Linked DNA regions of Astyanax mexicanus. The protein of the gene in region 2 purifies or fractionates together with the protein of the main gene of each other region. This does not show direct contact. Links are inferred from orthologs where the notes say so. Each region holds a gene or a part of one and is shown on either strand. Other genes may lie near its edges.

The links. Proteins that work in one complex are often made in the same cells at the same time.
Region 1: the proteins of prpf8 (region 2) and snrpa1 fractionate together in Homo sapiens (co-fractionation; 3 studies listed by BioGRID, with this or other methods). This does not show direct contact. The link is inferred for Astyanax mexicanus from reciprocal best matches to the Homo sapiens genes PRPF8 and SNRPA1.

What each region holds. Positions count from the first base shown.
Region 1 is NC_064423.1:9,652,522-9,660,751, reverse strand, and holds the start of snrpa1 (U2 small nuclear ribonucleoprotein A'), read right to left. Parts: upstream 3,762-8,230; 5' UTR 3,670-3,761; exon of another isoform or gene 3,573-3,669; 5' UTR 3,561-3,572; coding exon 3,479-3,560; intron 872-3,478; coding exon 724-871; intron 1-723. UniProt on the Homo sapiens protein: Involved in pre-mRNA splicing as component of the spliceosome. Associated with sn-RNP U2, where it contributes to the binding of stem loop IV of U2 snRNA.
Region 2 is NC_064425.1:24,552,443-24,561,482, forward strand, and holds the start of prpf8 (pre-mRNA-processing-splicing factor 8), read left to right. Parts: upstream 1-5,104; 5' UTR 5,105-5,214; intron 5,215-6,552; 5' UTR 6,553-6,563; coding exon 6,564-6,657; intron 6,658-6,757; coding exon 6,758-6,926; intron 6,927-7,039; coding exon 7,040-7,204; intron 7,205-7,302; coding exon 7,303-7,521; intron 7,522-7,601; coding exon 7,602-7,814; intron 7,815-7,923; coding exon 7,924-8,049; intron 8,050-8,139; coding exon 8,140-8,245; intron 8,246-8,390; coding exon 8,391-8,581; intron 8,582-8,692; coding exon 8,693-8,812; intron 8,813-8,905; coding exon 8,906-9,040. Other genes in the region: myo1cb (myosin Ic, paralog b), read right to left, coding at 713-805. UniProt on the Homo sapiens protein: Plays a role in pre-mRNA splicing as core component of precatalytic, catalytic and postcatalytic spliceosomal complexes, both of the predominant U2-type spliceosome and the minor U12-type spliceosome.

The DNA.
Region 1 (8,230 bases), on a different chromosome or scaffold from region 2:
TTAATCAGGTAGAATTTTCCCACAGAGCTTTACAAGTATTGTAATAATGTCCTAATACAGCAATTCTCAACTGATGGGTCGGCACTCAAAAGTGAGTCACGGACAGCTTGCAATTTTTTTTTTATTAAATACATAAGGGGAAAAAAAAGTGTGTGTGTGTGTGTTTGTGTGTGTATATATATATATATAAATCAATGCTCATCTGATTTTGTACTATTGTACTACATTGGGAAAAAGGAGACAGAGCAAGTTTATTACTAATGTAAGAATGCAGAGAAGTGATTGTTTTGTTTTGATGTTTTATTGTCATGTGAATTAATTACTCTTAAATTCACTTTGCATGATTATGCATGTTAAAATGAGTTTTTGAAGGCTATTTTTCAAAAATATTTGTTTAGTTTGTAGTCTACTCTATAAAAGTGGGTCGCAACTTAATGACCATGAGAAAATGTGGGTCCCAGGCTAAGACCAACTAAGAGAATCCCTGTCCTAACAGACTATATAATTAAAGAAAAATACTAAAATATTAAGAGGAACATTCTTCTTTTTCATTATTATGATTAAATGACTAGTTAAGCAAACAGATACACACTCTCAAAACATAATTTAAATCTTTTAAGTGAGTGCAGCTTGTAACTATTGCTAATTTAAAAACTACCCACACTTCTTCTGACCCACTTCTCACTGATAAACAGGAGCCGCTGAAAGTCTCTCTTCTCTCACCAGATGCGGTTGTTGTTCATCAGCACGGTCTTCAGCCTCTTGAGCAGTGGAAACCCATCAAGCTTTCTGATCTCATTATCAGAGAAGTCAATGGTGTCAAACTGGTCCAGAGTGGCACCGAGATTCTCCAGCACTGGGATTTTGTAACCTGAGACACAAAGACACATGATGAACTGAGGAAACCACGGCAGAACCTGGCCTGAATTTTACAGCCGAGCTAAGACTAAAGAAATAAAGCTTTAACTAAAGCTTTACTTTATACTGTTTTGAGGTTCCATGACAATAAAAAAATCAGATGGGCCGTAAATGTGGACACCTATCTCAGCTGGGATAAGGTCATAGGGATTGTGGAGGCCAATTTTTTTTTTATTATTTATTTACTCCATGTTTGCGCTTTAATTGTTTTCATGTCTTTATTATGCTATTGATATTTTACTCAGATTTTCCTAAATGGTCAATGTAAATGACAGTCATTCAATTTCAAATCACGAACCCCTCAGCATAAATCCAATCAAAGAAGTAGTCTTCATGTACGTCTGGGCCGTTTTTGCTTGTGAGCTCTGTTGTAAGCCTCTGGAAGATCCTACAACTTGAGGTTTGTGAGACTCCAGAGGCACCAGCAGATTCAAATATCTGTTTTCTTGTTTGTGATGACATTTTAGCATCTGCTCTCTTAATCCGATGAATCTGTCTGTCAGAAACCTTCCTCATTTTGCCTTTATCTGCACAAACCTGTCTGTGCTCTGAATCAGCCACAAATCTCTGCACAGTATGATTATCACGCTGAAGTTTTTGTGAAATATTGTGTTTATAATGTTTTTACACCTTGTCCAAAGCATTGCACTATTTCACACCTTTCAGCAGCAGAGAGATCCTTCTGGGTTCATACACCTTTTACAAGGTAAAATTCCAGCACTTTCAAGTCCCATTTTCAAGTTTTTCCAGCACTTTTCAGCTGTGGTAAATTAATGAAAACGGTGATCTCAAAACTGCAATTCAGCGATAATTAATATATATCGCAAAACTATTCTCCACACTTCACAGCGACTATGTTACTAAGAAAAAAAAACTTTTTATTTTAAAAATAATTACTGTTACCATTGGAAGGTTTGTTTAAAAAAAAAAATGAAAAAAAAAAGAAAGAAAGAAGCTACACTTAACGGGTCATGACTTAGAAATTATCACGACTGTCATTCGCATTGATCCTTTAGGAAAATCTAAGAAAAATATCACTTGTTTAATAATTTGGACCACAGTGTACAGAAAAACATCAAATGAGAAGATTTGCCCAAACTTTTCACTGGTACTGTATACATATGCAAAAAAAAAAAAAGATTCTGTGGAGATTCTTTTAAAACGTTTAAAAAGAACTTTTTAAAAAGGTCATTTACAATAAGAAGTGCGACATATTAGATCATACACAATAATATTGCGTATTATTGGAATTATAGGAATAGATTATTCCTGTCCAGCATTATTTATTTTACTTTAATCATGAATATATGAAGATATTCCAGATCATTGACTGCTGTTACAAATCTGACAATACCTCAGTTAGGGGTATGCCATATCATATCGTGTGTAATAACAAAATTTAATTTTATTTTTATTTTTTTTTTGCAAAAATAATAATAATTTACCTATATTATTTTAGGGCCACATTGCCCACCCCTATTCATACATTATACATTTATTTAATAAATAAACAAATTTCACCTGAGAGTCTTTAAGGCAGTGACTCCCCTGCTATGTAAATGTCAATACAGCAAACAAGTCACATCAAATCAGCTAACTATGAATCCATTAAACTGTGTAATTATTGAGGTAGGAGGTGCTACAGGACCCGGGCTGAGAAACACTGATTTTTTAGGGAAACAGGTCTCAAGCAGAGAATAATACTGATACACTTTCTTCAAAGTGTGGTCATTTTACACCTTGTACAGCTCTGGAAAAAAATTAGACAATTTAAAAATTGAGTTTTTTTTTTTTTATTTAACCAAATGAAATAATGGAAACCTCTGGAATATAATCAAGAGGAAGATGGATGATCACAAACCATCAAACCAAACTGAACTGCTTGAATTCTTCACCAGGAATAAAGGCATACAATTATGCAAAAGCAGTGTGTAAGACTGGTTGAGGAGAACATGACAAGATGCATAAAAACTGTAATTAAAAACCAGGGTTATTCCACCAAATATTGATTTCTGAAAATGAACTTGTTTTCTTTGCATTATTTGAGGTCTGAAAGCTCTGCATCTTTATTGTTATTTCAGCCATTTCTCATTATCTGCAAATAAATGCTTTAAATGACAATATTTTTATTTGGAATTTGGGTGAAATGTTGTCCGTAGTTTATAGAATAAAACAACAATGTTCATTTTTCTCAAACATATACCTAAAAATAGCTAAATCAGAGAAACTGATTCAGAAAATGAATTGGTCTCTTATTTTTTCCAGAGCTGTATGTATATATACTAAAAAACATTTTATATTAAAAAGACCTTAACCTTCACCCAGAGATAATAAAGAGCTACAGCAGAACAGAGTATCCTGATGCAGATCTGCACAAAGCCACCACCCCAACCTGTCTTGTCTTAAACACATAGAGCACTGTGATATCCCCCCCCCCCCCTACTACAGATCATCTACAGCCACCAGTCTGCCTGAAGAAGACTAGTATTATCAGCTCTGTACGCTAGATAAAGTAATTAAACTGTATAAAGTCTGTATATATGTTATTGTAGTCTCTCACCTCTCAGGTCCAGTTCTCGGTCCCGGACGGGGTTGGTGTACTGAGCCGCCTGTTCTATCAGCTCAGCCGAGAGCTTCACCATGCTGCTGCCGAACTGAAGCGGAGAGATGAGTAAAATAAACCGGTTTAATTCAGAATAAACTCAAATAAACACCAAACAAACACCCGGCCCGGAATCTCTGCTCATTTACCGCCAGCAGCACTGCGGACACACAACGCACGCGCTGCCGTCAGGAAGTAGCTGCAGAGCGGACACTCCCGCACTGCTGCCCCGCGCGGCCTGGAGGCGCTACTGAACACATTTACCCTCAATGTGCTTTAATTTTTCTCTTTCACTCTCTCTCTCTCTCTCTTTTTTCTTCTGTAAAGTTTCTTCTGTAAAGTTTTCTGTCTCTTTCACTCTCTCTCTCTCTTTCTTTCTTCTGTAAAGTTTTCTCTTTCTTTCACTCTCTCTCTCTTTCTTTATTTCCTTCTTTACAATCACATTTCTCTTTGTTTTGTTCTTTCTTTTTTAATGCGTTATTTCTTTCCCTGTCAACATATTCAGGTGCCCCGCATGACGAGAAAATTAAATTATCATGAAAAAAATCTTCACAAGTTGCAAAAAAATCTGATATTGCAACACCACTTTTTCTGTGTTTTCTTTTTGCAGTACTTCCCTGCTTTTGCGTTCCTCCGTTTAAAGGTGCTTGCACACTGCACGCGGTAGGTGCGGCGCGGTACGCTGACCCCCATAGGATTCAATAGTGTCTAGAGCGGTAGAGCGGTGCGTCGCTGCCGCGGAGCAGAGCGGAAAGCGGCGCGTTTCCCCGCCCATAACCACGCCTCCACCGCGCTACCGCTTACCGCGGGCAAAGTTCAACATGGTTCAACTTTGACCTCGCGGCAAGCGGTACCTCGGCAGAAAACGCATGACGTGAACTCACGCGACTAGAGAGAAACTGTAGTCCAAACAACAATAAACGTGCGCGAGAGACTAATAATAGCGATTAGTGAATCCCCTCAGCTGTACATCACTTCCCTACACTCATATAGAGATAACAGGAGGAAGAGAAGAATCAGAGCTTTGTTCTGAGGCTGAGAAACATATACAGATGCACAGAGGCTGTAGAGACTCAAAACTACAAAACACCGCTCACAGAGGTGATGGGTTTTAGAAAACTCCGCCTATTATCAGCAGGAGACGCTTGGCGTCAGCAGCAGCGCAACGCACCCGCAACTGACCAGCGTAGAGCAGAGCGGCAGCACAGCGGAATGCCGCGCGGCATACCGCGTTCAGTGTGCAAGCACCTTTATTTGCGAGTTCCTTTTTGGTGTGGGGGTGTGGGGAGAGGAGAGGGGCGTGGCCAAGATGGAAACACGGGTTGTGGAAGATCACGTCAGACAGGTGTTCTGTCCGAGTTGTGCTACTCATCGAAATGTGCTTCTCATCGCCAGTGCGCACCATGCGCACATTTAAAAAACAAATTATTAATGAATTTTATCCATTTATTTTATAGCATTTCTGTTCTTCTTGGGTGCATTAAACAATCGGAGTTCCCTGACATTATTTGTGTTACAAATGTGTGAATTAATAATAATAAAAGTAATACATGAGCAACGAAAAAATAAATACGGTTTATAATCATTCCTATTAACTCCAAACTGTATCCCTATGGAAGCCCATTTCCGCCACCTGAAGAAAAAAAACGTCCTCAACTAAGTCATAATTATGAGATAGAAAAGTCATAATTATGGGATAGTAAGTCATAATTATGAGATAGAAAAGTCATAATTATGGGATAGTAAGTCATAATTATGAGATAGTAAGTCATAATTATGAGATACTATGTCATAATTATGAGATAGAAAGTCATAATTATGAGATAGAAAGTCATAATTATGAGATGACTTTTTATCTCATAAATATGACTTACTATCTCATAATTATGACTTTTTTATCTCATAATTATGACTTACTATCTCATAATTATGACTTAGTATCTCATAATTATGACTTTTTATCTCATAAATATGACTTACTATCTCATAATTATGACTTTTTTATCTCATAATTATGACTTACTATCTCATAATTATGACTTAGTATCTCATAATTATGACTTACTATCTCATAATTATGACTTACTATCCCATAATTATGACTTTTCTATCTCATAATTATGACTTACTATCTCATAATTATGACTTTTTTATCTCATAATTATGACTTACTATCTCATAATTATGACGTAGTATCTCATAATTATGACTTACTATCTCATAATTATGACTTACTATCTCATAATTATGACTTACTATCTCATAATTATGACTTACTATCTCATAACTATGACTTACTATCCCATAATTAAGACTTTTCTATCTCATAATTATGACTTAGTTGAGGACGTTTTTTTTTTTCTTCAGGTGGCGGAAATGGGCTTCCATAGGTATCCTGATATGGTGAAACCATTTTTAAATATGGGACTTTTTTTTCTTTTAGCATTTTTACGTTTAAATATACACTACGGTAGCATGGTTTGACAGGGTAGCACAACTCGATAGAAAACCGGCCAGCTCAACCAGCCGCCCCGACCAAGCTAACCAGCCTGAACAACAACTATTTACAGTTCGTAAGTGAATGCTAATAATTTTACATACACATAATTATTGAATTATATAATATTGTTATTTTTAGTTGTTAAATTGAGAACAAGACTGAATTTGGCTTCTTTTTCACTCACTGTGAGTTACACGCGGCCGCCTGTAGATGGCGGATTTTAACAATGAAAAGCCCCAATAAAACACAACGCTGTGCAGAGGCTCTGAATAAAAAGGGAAAAAAAACACAGTAAGTTTAATTTAGACTTTAATATAACGTAGATACATTAAGATAACAAAACGGAACGTAACATAAAACATAATTTATTAATCTCCCTGGGGGAATTAGACTGTTCCAGGAACGTATATACAGATACACACAAGTACACACGTCTGAAAAATAGAAAGAAAAATTACTCATACCAGAATGTGATATTATGCAATAAAAAGAGAGAGACTGTGAGATACAGCTAGATACACATGTGCAGTGTGTCCATATAAAGTTGTCCATATAAAGCCATACAATATTAATGATTAAAATAGTAATAATAATAAGAATAAAAACCTAAATGTCAGATGTAAGATACAGTACTTCACACTAAAGAGCAAATATTACTTTTGATATTTTGCATAATGACATTGGAAATCGTACAAATGATTAAATCGATTTAATGAGCCTTTTATAGTATAAGAAACTGTCGAATCGCACAGTGAGCCTAATTGCCAGAGCGTTATATATGGCTGTTAAAATCATGAAGAACAACACATATTTTTTTTCTTTTTTGTTTGTTCTGTTTGATATTTCTATTCTATCTGAGTTATATAGACCAATGAAGTCGTGTAGTAATTTTGTAGTCGGCGCCATATTGTTTATGCCCATATTTGGGGTTCCGTGTCTAATAGGTTCAGACCTATGGTAAAAAAATTAAAAGGCTTTTCTAAAACTGGTCTCTATATCACATTCTGTGGTAAATAAATATGTTCAGAACCCTGTACGTTTTATTCTGTGTACATTTACCTCCTGAACATCACTGGATCCTCTGAATTTCGAGATTTAACTGTGCTTAACTAACCTCACAGCACAGTGGCAGGGAATGGCAGGATCGCGTTTTAGATTATTGTTCTTCTTCACAGAGGATCATTAAAGTATTTAAACAGGTGAAAACTCTTTCAGTCTGGTGCTGTGGAGCAGTGTAGTCTGTGTTAGAGCTTTAAAAGGCAGATAATAAGAGAACGTTGTTCTCAGTTTAGGAGCAGCGCTTCTCTGCAGGTTTAGTATTTAATTATAGCCATTAGTTTATACTAATTACAACACCTGATTCAAATAATCAACTAACAACTAACTAGTCAACTATTTGCCCTCACTGAGGTGAGTTGTGTGATACAGCAGAAAAACTAGAAGGACAGTGTTACTCCAGAACCACAAAGTTAACCCAGCTAACTGAAGAACCATAGAGTCTAAAACACGTAATGTAAAAAGACTTAATTAGTTTTTTAAGGACAAATCTTAATGTCGTCTAAATGTGTACTAAAACAACGAGCCAGAAACACCAAACATCTCTAATTTATTTCACAGCATAATAAGGCGGTAAATGGTAAAAAGTGCTACAGTATTTAAATCTGGTTCTGGAGTTACTCTGTTCTGCAGGGTAAGTGTGTTTCTGCTGTAACACTCTCAGCTCTTGGTGAGGGCAGTTTGTTCATTAGTTGGATCAGCTGTGTGTAATATGTTTGCTGGTGTTGCGCCGAAATAAGTCCCCTGCCGATCTCTGCAGCTGCTGACGTGAATCCTCCATAACCCGCCTTTCCATCCTGACCACGCCCCTCTCCTCTCCGCACACCCCCACGTCAAAAAGGGGTCAAAATAGACTCACAAACAAAATGGAGGAACGCAAAAGAGGGAAAGTACTGCAAAAAGACAAAAAGGAACGCAAATTGCAAAACAAAAAGAAAAAGTGGTATTGCAAAAGATTCATCCTAAACTAAAAATTGCAAGTGAAATATTTTGTTTGCAAAATCAGATTATTTTTGTGACTTTTTTTTCGTGATTTATTTTCTTGTCAACTTTGAAGACCCCAATTTGACTTCTTATGCATGTAAATACCAGATAGCTTTATGTTTAGCACAAGCACTTCCCAAAAACAACCCATGCAATATCCCCCTATAGAG
Region 2 (9,040 bases):
TTTAATATACTATAGTTCAAATTGTTATTCCATATTAGACATTTTTGTTTTTCAATATTACAGTATATACAATGCTGATTTAAAGACTTTAAAATAGACAACATAATGTCCTATAGCTAGTGTATTTTTTAACAATAAATATACTGATACTGTAAAAAATACAGTATCATCCTAACCCTAACTTTATAACGTTAGTGTTAAATAATGCAATGTGGCTGTTTACAAGTAATTCTGGAGACTTTCCACAGTAATTTTTATTATTTTTTCACAAGGTGCAGGACATCTGATATCTGTAATTATCATGGACATTTTAAGAAAAAAACATATTCTGTTATCTGTTTATTGGGATTTTCTGGGGATAGGTTCCGTGCATCCAATACAGTGCCTAAAACATATTAATCATATTAATTTCTGTATTTTCTGTATAGTTTTATTGTGAAACACCCTACTAATTACATGTATCAACATCAAATAGTTTAATATAGCTATTATACACATTCATCTGGCACCACACTGGATTTATAGTATTTATAAACTTTAAAATGGCTTTGAGCTTGCACATACTGAATGCAGCATCATCTCTCTGTGTTGTTAGTAATGCACTTTTATTATAAGTAAGACCCAGTGCTATAATCTCATAACAACAATCTATTACACCAGCTTCCAGTTCCACTACAGTTCAAAACAAGTCATTAGACATGCTCTCTCTTACCTTGGAGCAGCTGTGACAGTAGCTCTCTCCATTCATCCCTGGAGAGAGGATGATCTCCCCTGTTGGGACCAACTGAATCTTCAGCTCCATCATGATGGCTGCTGTCTCCTTGTGTTCCCTTCTTCCTCACTGACAGTGTGCCTGATCCTTTCACACCACTGTCGTTCCTCAGCAGATGCTGGAGATGGTTGGAACAGAGTAAAAACACTTTGCTATGGCCAGTAAAGTAGAGAAGTAGTGAAAACTGAGCAAATATAAGCAGTGAAAGCTAATGAGAGACAGGGTGGAGTAAGTAGTGTTACCTGCGGCAGTAAGAGAGCTACTGCCAGCTTCCTCTGTTAAGCAAGAGAGAGATATGTGGGGATGTCCGGGCCTCTTCCCAAAGCCAGCCCCAGTATAATTGATGTTCCTTCTTTGCCGCTCCGCTCAGGACGGCGAGGGTTTGCCGCCAGGGTTTCCTCCAAACTCCAGCATCCTGTCCTCGACATTCTCTGAGTAAACACCAGAGGAAGCCACGCTGCTTCCCCTTCATATACAACATTAACTTAGTCCTTACACCATACACTACTTTAAGGAAAACCTTTTTACAATTTTCCCTAAAAACTCACATCCAACATTTGTATCTACTGTTTTATAGACAGATAAGGTTGGTGGCAGGATATGGCACCATTAGGCAACCACAAGCTTTCACATTTGATAGACAGGCTTTAAATATCTCCATCTCCGCTGACCCTCAACCTGACAGGCCTGTGACCGAGACATTCCTGTTCCTGTTCCTGAGCAGCGATTAGACTTGCTTTCTTAAGCTCTCACAGATAACACAATGTTAAAACAATATTTAATGTTAAATGGTTGTGAAAATTTTGAAATGTACTCATCCTTCTGCTCTTTGAATTAGCATTTGAAATTTCATCACCATACTGTTGAATCAGATTGGTAGTGGTGGGTAACATTCTTTATACTCAGCTTTACTACAGTGATGTAAGTTTATTGTTAACCCTTTGTTATCAATAGGATTTTCTAGTTTTAGCTACGTGTAGTAATTGCTTTTTGTTTGTAATTGTACAGTTCCTACTTCTCAGAGTTGTATATTTAGAGAGAGAATAAAAATAAAAAAATTACTTTTTTTATGATGGTATACAGTTTTTATTCCTGTTTTTTTTTTATACTTTAATACAATTTTGAGCATCCCGACTGTGAGATATGGTTTATTACAGGTTGAACATTGAAACAACTTCGCCATATACACGTTTAACTGATTCAACGTTAAAATGCCAGTTGGGTACAAATTAATACTTCTAGTTATTTAACAAGGTACACACATGATAGGCTCCAGCCCCCCCATTTTATTTCAAGCCATATTTCAGACAAAACATATATTAAAGACTGAAGGGCTATAATGAGTTTGTGTGGGGGTGGGGGTGTGTGTGGTACCTATTCTTGTCAGTGATGGGTGTTCCATTAAAATATAGCACTGTTAAAAGAGGAAATGACACACGCACACATCCTATGACCTGTGACACGGCTGAGACATTCATGATTTCTGGGTATCAACAGGAAACAGCAGTTTTGACGTCCCACCGTGATGAAGTGAGCCTTGGCAGAAGCATAGCTAATGTCACTATGTGGTTTATTAAGTAAGAAAATTAGTAGTTGGCATCTCATATTCACGGTAAACCTGGGTCAACTGCATTCTTAGCTTGGTCTGAGGGATCATGCTTGTTTAAGTTGTTGTGTACTGTATATGCAGTCATGTCCTAAAGTGTTGGCACATGTGAAATTTCTCCAAATTAAAAGGATTCTACACATGTTTATTTATTTGTGTGTATTGGAACAACACAAAAAGTAGAGAAACAATGGAAAATCTTACATTATTTCACACATAACTCATCATTAAATTTGAAAATTGCCATACCAGTATAGGGAGCAGTTTCAGAATGCTTCAAAAAGCATCCAGTGTGATAAGATGGATGGAATCAAAGTGCTGGAGAGTTTTGAACTGGACAGCAATGAGTCCGGACCTAAATCCTGTTGAATACCTGTGGAGAGATCTTAAAATTCCAGTTGAGAGGTGTAAGAAGCTTGTTAATGGTTATAGTAAGTATAAAAATATGACTTTTGGAGAACATGCTTAGGTTTTAAGTTGAACATTAGCTGACAAGATTCTGAGGTTCAGTAACGCTACTCTAAAATGCACTTTGTATTTATAGGAGCAAAAGTGGCTTTAGCCTAGCACAGTTGGATTAGCTTCCTCTTATGCTAAATATGAATTTGCAGTATCTTCTGCTGATACTGTCCCATGAAAAGCCACAGTCACAATGGCCTAGTTCAGGTAGCAACCAGTTTTCTGTTAACTAAAGTCTGGTGGTGGTGATGTGCATGCTTGTCTTAGAAAACTAAATAAAGTATTAATAAACATCATACTCTCCCAGCGTGGCCAATATGTTTTACTGCATTGTAGCTTTGCTTGTGGGCTGGATGTTGGATTGGGCTAATTGGTTAGATTATGCCAGATTTCTTTTTACATAAAAAGACATCAGTATTTGACAGTGTCATTTCTATGTACCAAACTCAGCTATGCCAAGGTCAACACAGTTTTCCATTCAAGGACACTTTAAATAAAGTTTTCAAACTACATCAAACTCTTTTGTCTTAAACCAAAAAGGAAAAGGCTGTTTATCATGATGTGGGTCCTTTAACAGTGATTGCCAAGAGACATAAATGCTCATTAATAAACAGGGAAGTTGAAATGCCATCTGCTGTGTGTGACAAGTTACCCATCAAACAGAGACATCTTTGCAGGAGGAAGCACAGTGAGTGTGCTTCCTGTCCTCTCCCTTCCATCTCTTTTTTCCATCTCTGAAATGCCCACCCCAAGTATACACTTTTATAGCTCAGAGGAGCTGGTAAATCCACTCCCCTGCAAGGACACACAATTTGGGTGTTGAAATAAATGGTCCATATTAAAATTTAGACTACAGAGTTAAAAGCAGCAGGAACTTTCAGAACATACCCCTTATAAGGCTGTAGAGGGTGGCCTGAGATGGGGATGTAGAGGAATGGCATCCTGTTTGGGAGAGCTGCCAGCTGGAGGGAAATTGAGAAGAGAAGTTATGTCAGGAGATGACAGGTGAAGGGCACTACACAGCTACTAAACACTGTGGCACAGCAGCGACTATAATGAGCTGAGTGACAGAATAATTTTGAAACAGTATTGTCTATTTTTAAATTAAAGGGTCAGAATACACAATATTTCACTGTCACTCTGTTCCCACAACATTACAGTGTGTCCTACTCAGCTTCCTTTGTTGGCTTTAGTATTCTGCCCACAGGAAAAATGAGCAGTAGCCTCTACTGGGAGTGATGATGAGTGTTTGATTTGTTGCCTGGTGCAGTGCCATATCTTCCATGATGGAAACTGTGCTTAGTAACTTCATGAGCAAAACTAAGACCCATGAGGTAAGGCTGGAAAGCAATGTTATTTTTTATATAGAGGGCCCACATATTATATTGTGTATGTAATATAGTTACACAATTGCATTATGACATTGTGTAGACTCTATTTTAACCAAGACATAATAAAACTACATAAAAACAATATTCATTATCAGTAGCAAATGTTTTCATATATTTACCTTATTATATATTTAACTGGATATTTACTCACATAAAGAACAATGTATGGTCGTACAGCTTTAATATTGTAAATGTAAACTTATTTTTTTATTATTCTGTTCATTACAGGTACCTATGCCCACGAGTTGCTTTTACCGATAACGCCATCTGCTGGGGACTCTTCACATATAAATGTCTTGACGTGACAAATGTAAATTCGTAAACATATAAATTATATATAGAATTAAAATGAGGAAATACATAGCTTAAAGAAAATATTAGATTTTTTTGTTTAGTAACAACAACAACAACAACAACAACAACAACAACAACAATAATAATAATAATAATAATAATAATAATAATAATAATAATAATAGTAATAATAATAACAATAATTATTGTTATTATTATTATTATTATTATTATTATTATTAATGTTAATATTAATATTAATATAAATATTATATATTTTTTGCCTTAACTTTTTATATATTTTTTTCAAATTTATTTCTTAAATGTGCAAAACATAAACATAAAAAATAAGACATTGTTAGTTTTCGCGCTATATTTTCTTTAAGCAAAATAGTTCTTCATTTTTATTGTTTTTAATATATTTGAACATTAAATTAAATGTAAAATAAAACAACTGCGTTTACAAACTTTTAACGGGCTCCAAACGGAAACTGTATTATTTCCTCATCCGGGGCTTTGGATACGCATGTTTTAGTGGTCCTGCGTAAAGGGTTACTCCTTCTTTGCGATTCAGAGTAGGAAACTTCGCACTTCGCGGTGGTGAATTGTGTGTTGTTACGCACAACGTGTGGAATCGTTTCTCGGAGCGCCATTCTGCAGGAAACTCCGGAGAAACTCTGGGTTTAAACACAGTAAGATGTTTTTAATGCTGTATTAAACTGAGGCGTTCTCTGGGTATAGTTTTATAGATTCATATTTGCTAAATGTTTGTTTATGGGCATGCTCTGTAACCTGTGAGAGAGTTATAGCTAAACCCGTTAGCCTCGGCTCGTGCTTTGTTACGTAGTTAGCTGAAGCTAGCTATCGTGCTAAGGTAACGCTAGCTTGGTTTAATCCAAATACTATTGCGACTCGTATTAAACACAGTTCGGCTCTGGTTTATTTTTATTTTGTGTTGTGTGAGAATGCGCCTGTTGGTTACAGTTTATAGCTAAACAAATAATTTGCGGCTCGTTAGCCACTTTGTTAGTAGCCAGAGCGTAGCTGTAGTGTGGATAATGCTTTAGCGTAAGCGGGTAAATTAGTTGGCATGGCTAGCTGTTAGCTAACGCCGGCTAGGTTAAAATTGTTAGAATCCAAACAACAATAATTAGAGTTTTGCTTTCTAGTTAAACTTTTCTTCTTTCCGACGGTCACTGAAGGTATCTATTTATTTTTATATTGAATATGAGGCAATGCTAGTTAGCTTAGTTAGCTAAATATTTGTGTTTGTAATAGTTATCCAGCTAGCTAGATAATTAGTGTTACCTTAGGTTAATGTGTCCAATGTGTGTGTTAAAAGCAACAATGCAATTAAAAATGCTTTAAAAATGTTTTCAGTCTAAACTGAATTAAACTTTTTGTGTAAGTTACTTAAATGTATCCATTTGTGATTAAGACAATACAATACAATATATGTGGTGAAAAAATATTTTATTTTACTTTAACCAGTATTTAAAGACTAGGATTTTATTTAAATAGCTTAACTTGGAAGTTTTTGCAGTCCTTAAATATTGTGGTTTTCTGTTCCGAAGGTGGAGAGCAACTCCTTTCTTAGTATTGTAGAAGCTTATATAGCAAAATGCTTTTTAAGGATCTAGCTATGCTATATTGCGGTTTTATAAAAATACAAGACTCACCAGACGTCAGTGGTCCAAATTTTCATATAAAAACGTATAGTGCTCTTATTATTAATTATTATTATTGTTATTATTATTATTATTTTTTTGATGAAAATTAGAACATTATGCTTTATTATTTTTGATCCTATTCCAGGTATTCTGATGCAGCATGCAAAAAAGTTAATTTTATTATTATTATTGCAAAGCAGTGATTTAAGGGATTGTGTAATGTGGCATGTTTTATCTGATCCACAGCTCTGTGAAAGTGTGTTAAAACTGCCAGCTTTGTTCTTTCTGTTTTACATATTCATTTGTTTTGCCATTATGCCATCTTAGACCTAACTGTTCTGCATTGCTGTCTTCCAACAGTAGACGCTGCCATGGCAGCTACATTCCCCTACAGAGGTGTCCCTGGTGTTCCTCCTCCTGCCCCGGTGCCAGACTACATGTCTGAGGAGAAGCTTCAAGAAAAAGGTTTGAATGCACGAAAGCAATGAATTGTTTATTGAACGTGTGCACTATAAATCCTTGTGTTATCAGAATTCTGATACACTTTTGTCTGTTTTAATTCCAGCCCGGAAATGGCAGCAGCTGCAGGCAAAACGCTACTCGGAGAAGAGGAAATTTGGTTTTGTCGATGCTCAGAAAGAGGACATGCCACCAGAGCATGTGCGGAAAATCATTCGGGACCATGGAGATATGACCAACAGGAAATTTCGTCACGACAAACGAGTCTATCTTGGGTAAATATAGAGATTTGTGCACACTTTTTAAAATAATTGTTTAACTGCAAACTTTGTGAAAAAATTGTAACAACTGTTTTTGTAACAGATGATGTGTCTGTTTTTGTCTCTAGGGCTCTGAAGTACATGCCTCATGCAGTACTGAAACTGCTGGAGAATATGCCCATGCCCTGGGAGCAGATCAGAGATGTGCCAGTGCTGTACCACATCACAGGAGCCATTTCCTTTGTAAATGAAATTCCTTGGGTCATTGAACCAGTTTACATTGCACAATGGGGGTAAGTTACCATTGTTCCAATCAAGCTTTGTTTTTTATCAAATGTATAGATTTATTAAACTTTTGAGATTAATCACTTCTTTTTCTGTTTGACGCTAGTACCATGTGGATCATGATGCGTCGTGAGAAAAGAGACAGAAGGCACTTCAAGCGTATGCGCTTTCCTCCCTTTGATGATGAGGAGCCCCCACTGGACTATGCTGATAACATTCTGGATGTGGAGCCCCTGGAAGCCATTCAGATGGAAATGGACCCTGAGGAAGATTGCTCAGTTGTAGAATGGTTTTACGAACACCAGCCACTGAAGGATGCTACCAAGTGAGTCTTTGTCACAATCAACAAAAAAATAAATTTTAGTTTTTTACCACCTTATCTCATTATGTCTCTTTGTCTTTTAGATATGTCAATGGGACGACATACAGACGTTGGCAGTTCACCTTGCCAATGATGTCCACTCTTTATCGGTTAGCCAACCAGCTGCTAACTGATTTAGTGGATAGGAACTACTTCTATTTGTTTGACCTGAAGGCCTTCTTCACTTCAAAGGCCTTAAACATGGCCATTCCTGGAGGGCCCAAATTTGAACCCCTGGTCAGAGACATCAATCTACAGTATGTATACCTGCATTCTTTTTAAGTACACTGTACTAGATTGAATCGTCTCTCCTTTAAGGTCTTTTGAAATTTATGCATGATTTAAGTTTGCCAACTTCTGTTACAGGGATGAAGACTGGAATGAGTTTAACGACATCAACAAGATCATCATCAGACAGCCGATTAGAACAGAGTACAAGATTGCTTTCCCATACTTGTACAATAATCTTCCACATCACGTCCATCTCACTTGGTAAAAAGACCTTTCTTTTTAATGTTTCTTGTGTTTGTGATTTAAAATATAAGTTGATTATAATACATAATTACGATACTGTTTACCCAGGTACCACACTCCTAATGTGGTGTTCATCAAGACAGAGGATCCTGATTTGCCTGCTTTCTACTTTGATCCTCTCATCAATCCCATCTCTCACAGACATTCTGTAAAAGTAAGGACGGTAGTAGTTAGGATTGCTTGGTCTGCATTTATCAGACAAAAGAACAAACTAGTAAAATCTGACTGATGGGTTGTTATGGGTCTTGTGAGTTGATTATTGAATGATTACAATAAAACATATATTATGCTTTCCTCAGAGCCAAGAGCCACTGCCAGACGATGACGAGGAATTTGAGCTTCCTGAGTATGTGGAGCCTTTCCTCAAAGAGACGCCTCTTTATACTGACAACACAGCCAATGGGATTGCCCTTCTCTGGGCCCCACGTCCGTTCAACCTGCGCTCCGGAAGGTCCAGGCGTGCCATCGATGTTCCCCTGATCAAGAATTGGTGAGCTCTGAATTATAATACTTGTAGCTTGCTTAGTCTTTTCAATGACATAAGTGTTGGACACTTAGGTCTTTTTTTGATTGTAGTATCATTTTTAATTCATTAATTCAGGTACAGGGAACACTGCCCTGCTGGACAGCCTGTGAAAGTACGTGTGTCCTACCAGAAGCTCCTGAAGTACTATGTTCTCAATGCGCTGAAACACAGACCACCTAAAGCGCAGAAGAAGAGGTTTGTTTTGCAGTATTTTCATATTTGGTAGTTCTTTAACCTGAAGTTTTTTAATAATTTATAATATTTATTTTTATTTTTATCATACCATAGATACCTTTTCCGATCCTTCAAGGCCACAAAATTCTTCCAGTCCACAAAGCTAGACTGGGTGGAGGTGGGCCTGCAGGTTTGCCGACAAGGTTACAACATGCTGAACCTGCTGATTCACAGAAAGAACCTCAACTA